2 linked regions of the Caenorhabditis elegans genome follow. The protein of the gene in region 1 purifies or fractionates together with the protein of each later gene. This does not show direct contact. Each region holds a gene or a part of one and is shown on either strand. Other genes may lie near its edges.

Region 1 (3,802 bases):
TGACAGACGAAAAATAGATTGACAGACGAAGAAATAGATTGACAGACGAAAAATAGATTGTTACACGAAAAAATAGATTGTTACACGAAAAATAGATTGACAGACGAAGAAATAGATTGACAGACGAAAATAGATTGACAGACGAAAAATAGATTGACAGACGAACTATTTTAACTATTTTTAGTCCGTCAATCTATTTTTCGTCTGTCAATCTATTCTTTTGTCTGACAATCTATTTTTCGTTTGCTTTCGTTTGAAAAAGAAACCCTAAAATAATGTCCGGTATTCGGTAATTTTGGGAATTTTCAAAGTTGCTCAGTCCTGGGCTAAAGTAATTAATCATGATCAGTCTTTCAGCTCTGAGCTATCAAACCAATCCGAGCAAGCAGGTGTCATTTTTCAGGCAAACAAATTTGTCACAAATGCATAACGTTGCCTTTTTCCATTCCCCAATGATTTTCCTAATCGCAAATCTTACTACAATCTGCTGGCCGATATACATTCTGCAGAATTTTAAACTCGTAGAATTTCCTGGTCTTCTACTTTCAGTTTTGGATTTTCTCCTATTTTTCCTGACTTTTTATTTTGCATTTCGATGTGCTTATTTGCTCGTTAAAGTGAGAGTTTTTCACAAGAACTTGTCAGTTTTGGCGGTTTTATTGATTTTTCAATGGTTGGAAGTATTGATCGGGAAGATTATTAGTTGGCCGTATGAGACGGGGTATTGGACGCTGGAAGGTAAGGGAAAACATCTGGTTGGAAAAATTTTTTGTTCAGAATTAACAGAAAAATCTTTATTGAACTCAACTATGCAGCAATGGTGGACTGAAAACCCATCAGAAATGATAAAAGTGGACAGTTTCAACCATGATGTTTTATTTTTCATCGCTGGATTTTTGAAAATACACTTTGGGCTTTCCATGTCGAATATTCTTCTGATAGTGTCTGTAGAAAGATCCTGTGCCAGTTATTTCCTAGAGGATTATGAGAACAAATCGAGAACTTGGATCGCTTTACTGATAATTTTTTTCAGTCAAACTTTTACTATGATATTTTCAATTGTGTTCTTTTTCAATTATCTGTCATATGTGTTTGGTATTAGTATCATTGCAATTTCGAATATTGGTGCTGTGATGGTAAGTTCTAAATAAATTAATAAACTAGCGGCTGACACCTTCCGGGCCCGCCAAGCGTCGGCTGCAGCACAAAGTCTTATTTTCTTTTTTCTTCTAGCTAATGCTCTACTCCCGCCACTACAACCAAAAAATCACGAAAATCCACGAAGACTACGCCCATCAATCCAACTACACCCTTGCAGCGAGATTTCAGGCCAAAGAGAACATGAAGTGTTTTGAAATGATCTGGAAAATCGTAATATTCGCACTTTGTATCGGAATTGTCGGTTTTGCTACAGCTCTATCCTTATATTTCCATATTCTACCAGAATTGGACACCATGCTTAACCTTGTCATGCAGGCTATGATAAACCTGCCGCCGTTGGTAGTGTGTCCTGCTATCATCTATTCCGTGGAGTCTTTCAGGAGCTATCACTTTTTGTCGGTTACTTATTTTTGGGAGAAGCTGAAAGTCGGGCACGGGGCTGTGGATATGATGCCGGTGCAGAAAAAAAGTTTTTCGGTGAAACACGATGAAATTCGGAAGGAAACGGAGACTTATTTTAATCAGCTGGCGGCGTCTTGGATTTGAAATAAAGATTTCTGTACACTTTCTTAGATTGTTCTGTGATCGAGTTAGCCCGTCCAATTTACAAAATAGAAAAAATGTATTCAAAAACGTCACAGTTACTTTTAATATATTGTTACTTCTACCTTTCAAACAATTTCGGTGAATCTGTTGACTGTGACAATTACAAAACCCAAATAATTTTATCAAAACTTTTTTTTTGTTGAAATTCTTCATGTAATCAAACATTACTCTACACACACCCCACCGCTTATCACTCTTGAAGAACAAAGGGATTACAAAATGAGTATGGCAGCTGATAATGCACGTTTTTGTGCTCAACTTTACTATGTTCTATATTTTACAACACTTTTTGCAACTCTATAATCTAACTCTACGGCTCTGAAAATTATGAAGTTCTTCATACTAGCATTTCTTGTATTGTGCTCACAAATTGATGCGGCCGACGAGTGTAAGGATACCAGTGATAAGTGAGTTTGGGAACCAAGATATATGAAGTAGTCCATTTTCAGATGCTCAGGGTGGGCTAAAAATGGCTTCTGCACAAATTGCTTCTACACTTGTGAGCAGCGAGAGCAGTATTGCGCAAAAACTTGTGAATACTGTGCTGGACAGAAGACTTGTGAAAATTGTACGGTGACAACGACAACGCCACCACCATCGGCTGTGACGATCAAGTGCGAGGACTATGGGGATTTGTAAGTTTAGGCGTAATCCGTTGTAGGTCTTGGGGGTGTTGGAGTTTCCGGATGTCTTAAAGGCCTTGGAGGTCCTTGGAGGTCTCGGAGGTCTCAGAGATGTTGGAGATCTTGGTGGTCTCGGATGTCATGGGGCCCTTGGAGATCTCGGAGGTCTCGGAAAGCGTCGAGGTCTCGAAGATCTTCGAGCTCTCGGAGGTCTCGGAGGTATCAGAGGTCACAGAGATCTCGGAGGTCTCGAAGGTGTGTGAGGTCCTGGAGACCTCGGAGGCCTTCCAGTTCCCGGAGGTCATCAAGGTTCTGGAGGGCTTAGACGTCTCGGAAGCCTCGGATGTCCTTAAGGTCATGGAGGTCTCGGAGATCCCGGAGCTCTCGGGGGGTCTCGGAAACTAATCCAATCTTCTCCTCACCACAATTCCTATAATTTTCCAGCTGCCACGCTTGGGCGAAGAATGGATTCTGCAACAACGACTGGTACAAATGTTCGGATCGCATCAAGTACTGCCCAAAGACATGCGGATATTGTTCCCCCGGATCTTGCAAGGATGGTAATGCGGCGAATCAATTTTTAAGCCTCGATGACTTGTAATCCCTTGAATTTTTGATATAATGTGTATTTAAACTCTATGATGAATAAGACTATTGTTATCTATAAGGTGTTGATTATGAGTTCAAATGCTCACTGACTGAATGAAGGGGGAAAAATGATGATTTTGCAGTGCAATCTGCCTCATTTCGTAACGACAAGTAATTTCCGACCGTCGACCTTCAGCCAGCCTAGTGGTGCACTCCACGACTGGATTATCTGGCCGGCTGGGGCATGACTTACACTAGAGCTCAGTTGGAGCACCACCAGTCAGTCTGACTCCCAGATTCGCAGTGCATAGAGCTTTTTGAAAGAAAATTTAGATCGTATACAATTGAGAGTTATTTATTCAAATCAAAAACACATCATTGCCGATTCAACATTTCAATTTCTTCCTTAGAAAGCTCTTTCATTATCCGTGGCGCTTGTGTCAAGCACTGCTCATTGCATACATAATCCGGATGGCAGAATCCACAGGTACGTTCGCAGTAGTGCTTGCGTTGAGCACATGTCCATTGGCAATTTGTGCAGAATCCGTTGCGAGCCCAGTTTACGCAGCTGGAAGGTATGGAATAAGGAAATTTCAATCAAAATTCCACAAATAAAACTCACTTTGGTCCAAGATCCTTAGCTGTTGCACAGGTATCCACGTCAGGCTTTTGGAGGAGCTTCTCCAGAAGATTTTGTGGTTTGGCGAGAGCCACGGCAATCACCAGGCATAGAACAATAAGATACTTCATTATTTGAGTCTACGAAGAAGAGTCAATTTCACCAATTTATACTATCAGTTTGTGCTTCAAAAGGCGGCGCCCAG
Region 2 (6,144 bases), on another chromosome or scaffold:
AACAGTTGCAAAATCCGTTTCGCAAAATTGAAAATTGGAGTTGGAGCCACAGTTTGAATACTTCTACGATTAAGAGTTGGAGCTTTGTAGAAATCGATCCCGAACCTTAAGTTATAAAAAAATAATTACTTATTTGAAATTTTATTGTTAAATACTATCCAAAGGAAAAAGGAACCCAATAAGTACAATGTGAAAATGAGAAAAAAAGCAAAATAATATCATTAAAGGTGGAGTAGCGCCAGTGGGGATTTTGCTATAATGCACTAATAATGATCCAAAACAACCAAATATCAAAATAAAACACTCCAAAAAATTAAAAAATTTCATAATTTCCGGTCAAAGTTTTGGCAAATTGGCAAAATTTTGAAAAATATGTGCTTTTGAGGAAATTTAAAGAAATTTCGCATGCTCCGACCCCTACAATGTTTTAATACAATTAATTTAAACATAATTAAAGTATAAAAACGTCGAAAAAAAAATTTTTTTTTTGGTCGATTTCCATAATTATGAGTGGCAAAAACTGAGTAATTGCCACTTTTTGACAGTAAATGAAAATTTTTCAAAATTTTTTTTGACAAGTCTTATCATGATATTTGGTCATTTTGGGACCAAAGGAGTGGTTTTTAACAACTTCCCCACTGGCGCTACTCCACCTTTAAGATTAAGGATTTTATCAAAGGAATATAAAATGTGTATATTTCAATTACGTATGATGAATTTTTAATTAGGTGTGTATTTTCAATTTTTCGACTACGATGGATATTTTTGGAATAGAAGTAAGAGTTCACGTAATTTGTCGTTGTCATGTGCTCTAGCCCGTAAAAAATATCCGTAGTTTCTAACTAGAAATCTAAGATCCGAATCAAACGCGTCCCAGAACTCCTTGAAGCGGGTAGCAATTCTTTGTTGTTTCCATATCTCCTGAAAAATGTTATATATTTTTGAGGATTTGAGAATTCACTTACAAATTCCAATACCCGCGTATTGAATTTTTTCTCCAATAGATTTGTTTTTGTCTTCGTACGAGACCAATGGCTCATGTATGTTCCTTCCCTCTTGTTTCCTTTTTTAGCCTGAAAACTGCTTCTTAAGTGAACTAATCAAAATAGTATTTAATTCTAGAGTATCACACAATAAAAAACAAAAAACGATCAATTTGGTACTTCAGAATGCTTGACTAGTTGAGAAAGATGGACTAGAGCCAATTGGGACAAAACTGAATTCCATAGTATTGTATTTTTTAATCGAGTTGGGTCATAAAATGAATGAATTAGAACGCAGAGCCTAATGTTTAATTTTAAAAAAGAAAGGAAAATAATTAAGTGTACAAGAAGGGAAAACAAGAATGGGACTAAATATAGTTCAGGGGTAATGTTTTTTTTTAAATTTGTATTCAAAAATTATTTAATATCCTAATGAAACTTCTGAAAAAATCAGAGAATTTGATGTTTCGAGTCAGAAAGCAGTGAAAACTGAGCTTGCACAAATTTTTTTGGCGGTTCAAAACTTCGAAAAAATTACAAATCTCAAATTTTGCTTGTTTTTCTGTATCGCATCTGCCCAAAATGGACTAATTTGGAATTATCATTCTTTATGACATATTTTGGTAGTTTATCTCATTCACTTTCGTTTCTTAAAGTGGTACTTGTGTATTACATGCCCACATTTTGAAATTAAATTAAATTTTCATTAATTTCTCCAATTAAAATAAATGTGATATACATTTTTCCTCTTCAGGCTTACAAAAGGTTATTTCCTAAGCCTAGAAATACGAAAATGTGGTACACGTTTTCATTGTTTTTAACTTTAAAAGTTATTAAAAAAATGAGGGCAGGTAATACACAAGTACCCTAAAAGTTTATTGAAAGCCGATAGGTAACCAATTTTGGTTATTTTCCTTACCTTTCGGCTTTAGATGTATAAAACGAGACTAAATGAGACAATTCATGAAATTCTACTTTTTTTCCTATTTTAACACAAAAAAGTGACCAAAATTCGAGATTTATGCTAAAATCATTGTAATTTTTACAAAATTTTAAACCATTACTACGAAATTCGCTTATTTTAGCTCATTTTTGGTCCGTTAAGCACAATTAAACGATGAAAATGGATTAAAAATATTTTTTTGATTGACCACTCAAAAACTTGTGAAAAGTTCATGGGTTAAACGTGTAGAGATTTTTTAGTAAAATTTTTTCGAAATGCTGACTTTAGTTCCATAAGAGTGGTTTTAATTATTTCCTCATTGACCGTATTTTGTCTTTAGTGGTTTGCAATAAGACATAGTTGAATATAAACAATTTTACAAAAAAAATGCTCACCAGTTCCTTCCTGTTCAAATATTCTTGGTGTGCCTCTTTCAGCTCTTTTCTAGATTCTTTCAGATTTTTCTCGATTTTTTTCAGTTTAACATCCTGCTTCTTAATGTTCTCAACGTCCTCAATGATACGAATTTTATCATTTTCAAAGTGTTCCAAACACCCGTTAACTTCTTGATAATTTCGAATAATCTCGTTATTATTGATACAGGGGTGTAAAACCGACTCAACCGCTGTTTTGAAAAGCGAATCATTTGAATTGTTGTATGCACACAATTGTTCGTGGGTAATCTTTTTCGTCTCGTAAATTGCTTGCGTTTTTCTCATTAATTCTTTTTCCAGACGTCGAGACTTTGCAGCGGCAATTCTGTTTCTCTCTCGTTTTGTTTTAGCCTGGAAATTGTATTTTTAAATTAAAAGAATCCACTGTTTCCAATTCCGATTTAGCAACCATCTGAAGTACAATTTCTCAGCTGGAAACACTTTAAAAACTCAAAATTTTGAACTAACCAAGTAAACGAATAACATCTAATACAGGATTTACCAAGGAGTAAAAAAGTTGCGTTTTCCGAATTGGGGGTCGATTTTTCGATTTTCAACTAAGATAAACCAAAGTTTTTTGTTTGTTGAATTTTCGATATTTATGTTGAAGAAAGTTATGTTTTCTTATTTTTTTCATCAACATAAACAAAATTTGATCGACATAGAATTTTATTGTTCATTTATAAATTTTTTTTTCGATTTTCCGATTTTGCAGATAATCGAGAAATTGAAAATATTGTGTTTTTTCGATTTTTTCCAAAAAAAATTTTTTTTTAACATTTTACTGTTTTGGAGTCATTTGAAAATATTTCCCAGATTTCGGTACTTCACCTTTAAGTGAATGCGGTCATTAAAAAAGTGTCTAAGTGCCAAAAAAGCCTGAAAATTTACCTTTCCTGATGGGATATTGGACTGTGCTGCTTGTGACATTTTATCATCTTGGTTGATGCCTATAAACGTTAAATTGCGGAAAAAGGTTTAAAAAATATTACTCACCATATGAAACATTTTCATTTTCGGTTATTGGTGCCATCGGCATCCATGAATCTTCGAAATGGTTCTCTTAAATTAAATTTTATTGAAAAATTTAAAAATTGAATAAAAGGTACTTGATCTCCAAATACTGTTGTTGCTAATACTGAAGATCAAGCGACTACTCTAAAAAATATACCTTTGTTCATGTTCGAGTTGTGTAAACCGCCATCGCGAATTAGAGGGAATAATTCTTGTGAGTTCTGAAAAAAACCCATTTTGAGATTTTGGAATCAGAATCTAGCCGAACTTTGATTTTCAGGCCCAAAATGGCGTGAAGCTATTAAATTTCGTAATAACAATTTTCAAAAGAAGTTATAGCGGTACAAAATTTTGAAAAAAAGCTAAAATCTCGCATTTTACCAATTCGACAAAGTCAGAACTTGCGGTAGTAAATTTTCTTGTTTTTTTTGGAGAAATTTTGTGAACGTCTCATTACGAAATCTGATATTTATCGATTGTTTCGGGTTTAAGGTATTCCACCTTTAACTAACCTGTTGCTGGAAAACTTCGTCATAGTTGCAATTGTTGTCATAAAAAATTGGTACTGGTCCAGGGTAGTGTGGCTTGTCCCCTGCCTGAAGACCGTTCAAAATGTGAGGAGCTTGCGCAGAGCTTTCAAGGAATGCAGCCAGTTCATCAAAATGGATTAGTTGTTGGTTTTGTGCAGATCCTTGCACGTGACTTGATAGTTGAGGAAGCATGGATGAAACAAAAAGTTCTGAAAATTAAGAAATTGAACTTAACCGTGAGGGAGCTTTATACAAGAAATCAGAAGTTTTAACGAGGGAAGGCAATCTGAATTTCAGGATATTTGCAGGAAAAGTGATTTTATATGTTTTTAACAGTTTGCAAATGTTCGCATCAATATTTAGAAATGTTTTTTCTCAAAAATTCAGGAAAAAAATTCAAGAGGAGTTTTTGGGCTTTCAAAACGACTTTCATTTTTTATCGAATGAAAACACGAATTTCGAGTTAAACACTGAAAAAGGCAACAAAAAAATGTGTCGTCAAATTAAATGCTGGGTACGCAAACAACTAACTTGGAGCCCAATGTGCTTATCAGTGCAATGAAACGCGGCACATGTTTGGTGAAATGAAGATTCTGAATGTGGGCAAAGGAAGTCACGTCAAATGTGGAAGGCTGCATTTTTTAGATAACAGAGGCAGGAATGCAATATTCAATTTTAATTGGCTGAGCAAATATGGAGATAGAGGTATAGCGGTGAGGAAATGATAGCCGACGAAGGCGTTTATCTATTTTCTAAAAACGCCATGTTTGGTGAAATGAAGATTCTGAATGTGTGCAAATGAAGTAACGTCGACAGGGGAAGAAGTGTAACATTACATAGATAACAGAGCCGAGAATTTAATTTTCAATTTTAATTGACTGATAGTAGGCAAAGATAGAGGCGGAGAGGTGAGGAAATGATAGCTGACGAGGGCGTTTATCTATTTTCTGAAAACGCCAATTATCGCTATTTTTTTTTAGAAAATTGATAACTCGTTATACAACAAAACAGAACAAGCAATGACAGGAGGGAACGGAAATGCCTTCTATCTTTCGCCGGATGGGAGCCAGGGGTATGCGGGTAATAGCCGGTTTAGTCGAATTCGCCGATGGGCTGATTAGACTAACTCGGCTAATATTAACCGAATTATCCGTTAGCCGAATATTTTCCGAGTTAGCCGAATTTGCCGAAAATTAGCCGATTTCACTCATTGGGTTTAGCCGAATTATCCGTTAGCCGGTTTTTTAAAAATCGGTTATCCGCACACCCCTGATGGGAACCCTATCGTCATCAGTGTAGTCCATCCGCAAAAACGGAGATAGAGACGAAGCGATGAGGAAATCATAGCTGATAAGGGTTTATGTGTTTTTTAAACGCGAATTAGCGCTTTTTTTTTGAAAATTGATAACTCCTTTGAACGAAACAAAACAAACAACGACAGATGGGAAAATAAATGTTTTCTTTCAAATGTCCTAATGAATCAGCAATTTGAAAATATATTCGAAAAATACAACACAACTTTGAAAAAGAGTGTTGTCAAATTTTAAGAATTTCTGCCAAACCTTTCTCGAAAATCAACCGAAAACTCTCAAACAATAAATGCGTATCATTTGAAAATTAAAAACTATAGGAACGTTTTGGAAGTAAACTGTATACATATGTGCAGCCACGGCCAAAAAGGTATGAAAAGACAGTACTACATATGCACAAAAACCCAAATAAGTGACTAAGAAACTCCAGCATCGTATATAGGATCTACTCTAAACATGGCATCAAACTATTCCTTGAAACATACAACACTCCTATTTTTCTCTTGAATTATAAACTTTTTAGTTAAAAGAAATTTCGTTTTTGCTAATTTTGGTTCTGCACATGGCCATTTAAATTAGACATTTGGAATTTCAACATTTTCAGTTAAATACTGACTTGTCTGAACCATTTTTTCTAAAGCCAGCTCAGTTCCGTCTGCGAATCCTCTTCCAATGTGAAAATACACAGTTTGAGGAGTTCATAGTAGTACTATCAACAACTCTAGAAATTCCAGTGAGCCATGGCTGGCTCCAGAAAGAAATATTTTGGAACTTCCAACTTTAAGCTTACAAAGTCGGATTTTCGAAATTATTTCAGTATTCCTAGGTAGAATACAGTTCAAAGTCACTGATAAACAACAATTCTGAATTTTAGATATTAGATTCCACAAATTACATCCCTGATGCCAAATATCCTATTTGAAACTGTAT

The links.
Region 2: the proteins of Y39G8B.10 (region 1) and Y116F11B.6 fractionate together in Caenorhabditis elegans (co-fractionation; one large-scale study listed by BioGRID). This does not show direct contact.

Annotation. Positions count from the first base shown.
Region 1 is NC_003280.10:13,981,302-13,985,103, reverse strand, and holds Y39G8B.10 (ShKT domain-containing protein), read left to right. Parts: upstream 1-1,988; 5' UTR 1,989-2,056; coding exon of another isoform or gene 2,057-2,089; 5' UTR 2,090-2,094; coding exon 2,095-2,174; intron 2,175-2,216; coding exon 2,217-2,402; intron 2,403-2,834; coding exon 2,835-2,991; 3' UTR 2,992-3,056; downstream 3,057-3,802. Other genes in the region: sre-47 (Serpentine Receptor, class E (Epsilon)), read left to right, coding at 453-738, 778-1,136, 1,234-1,707; Y39G8B.9 (ShKT domain-containing protein), read right to left, coding at 3,354-3,546, 3,601-3,728.
Region 2 is NC_003283.11:19,841,882-19,848,025, forward strand, and holds Y116F11B.6 (BZIP domain-containing protein), read right to left. Parts: upstream 4,097-6,144; coding exon 3,887-4,096; intron 3,596-3,886; coding exon 3,532-3,595; intron 3,423-3,531; coding exon 3,357-3,422; intron 3,311-3,356; coding exon 3,252-3,310; intron 2,712-3,251; coding exon 2,322-2,711; intron 1,074-2,321; coding exon 966-1,073; intron 922-965; coding exon 751-921; downstream 1-750.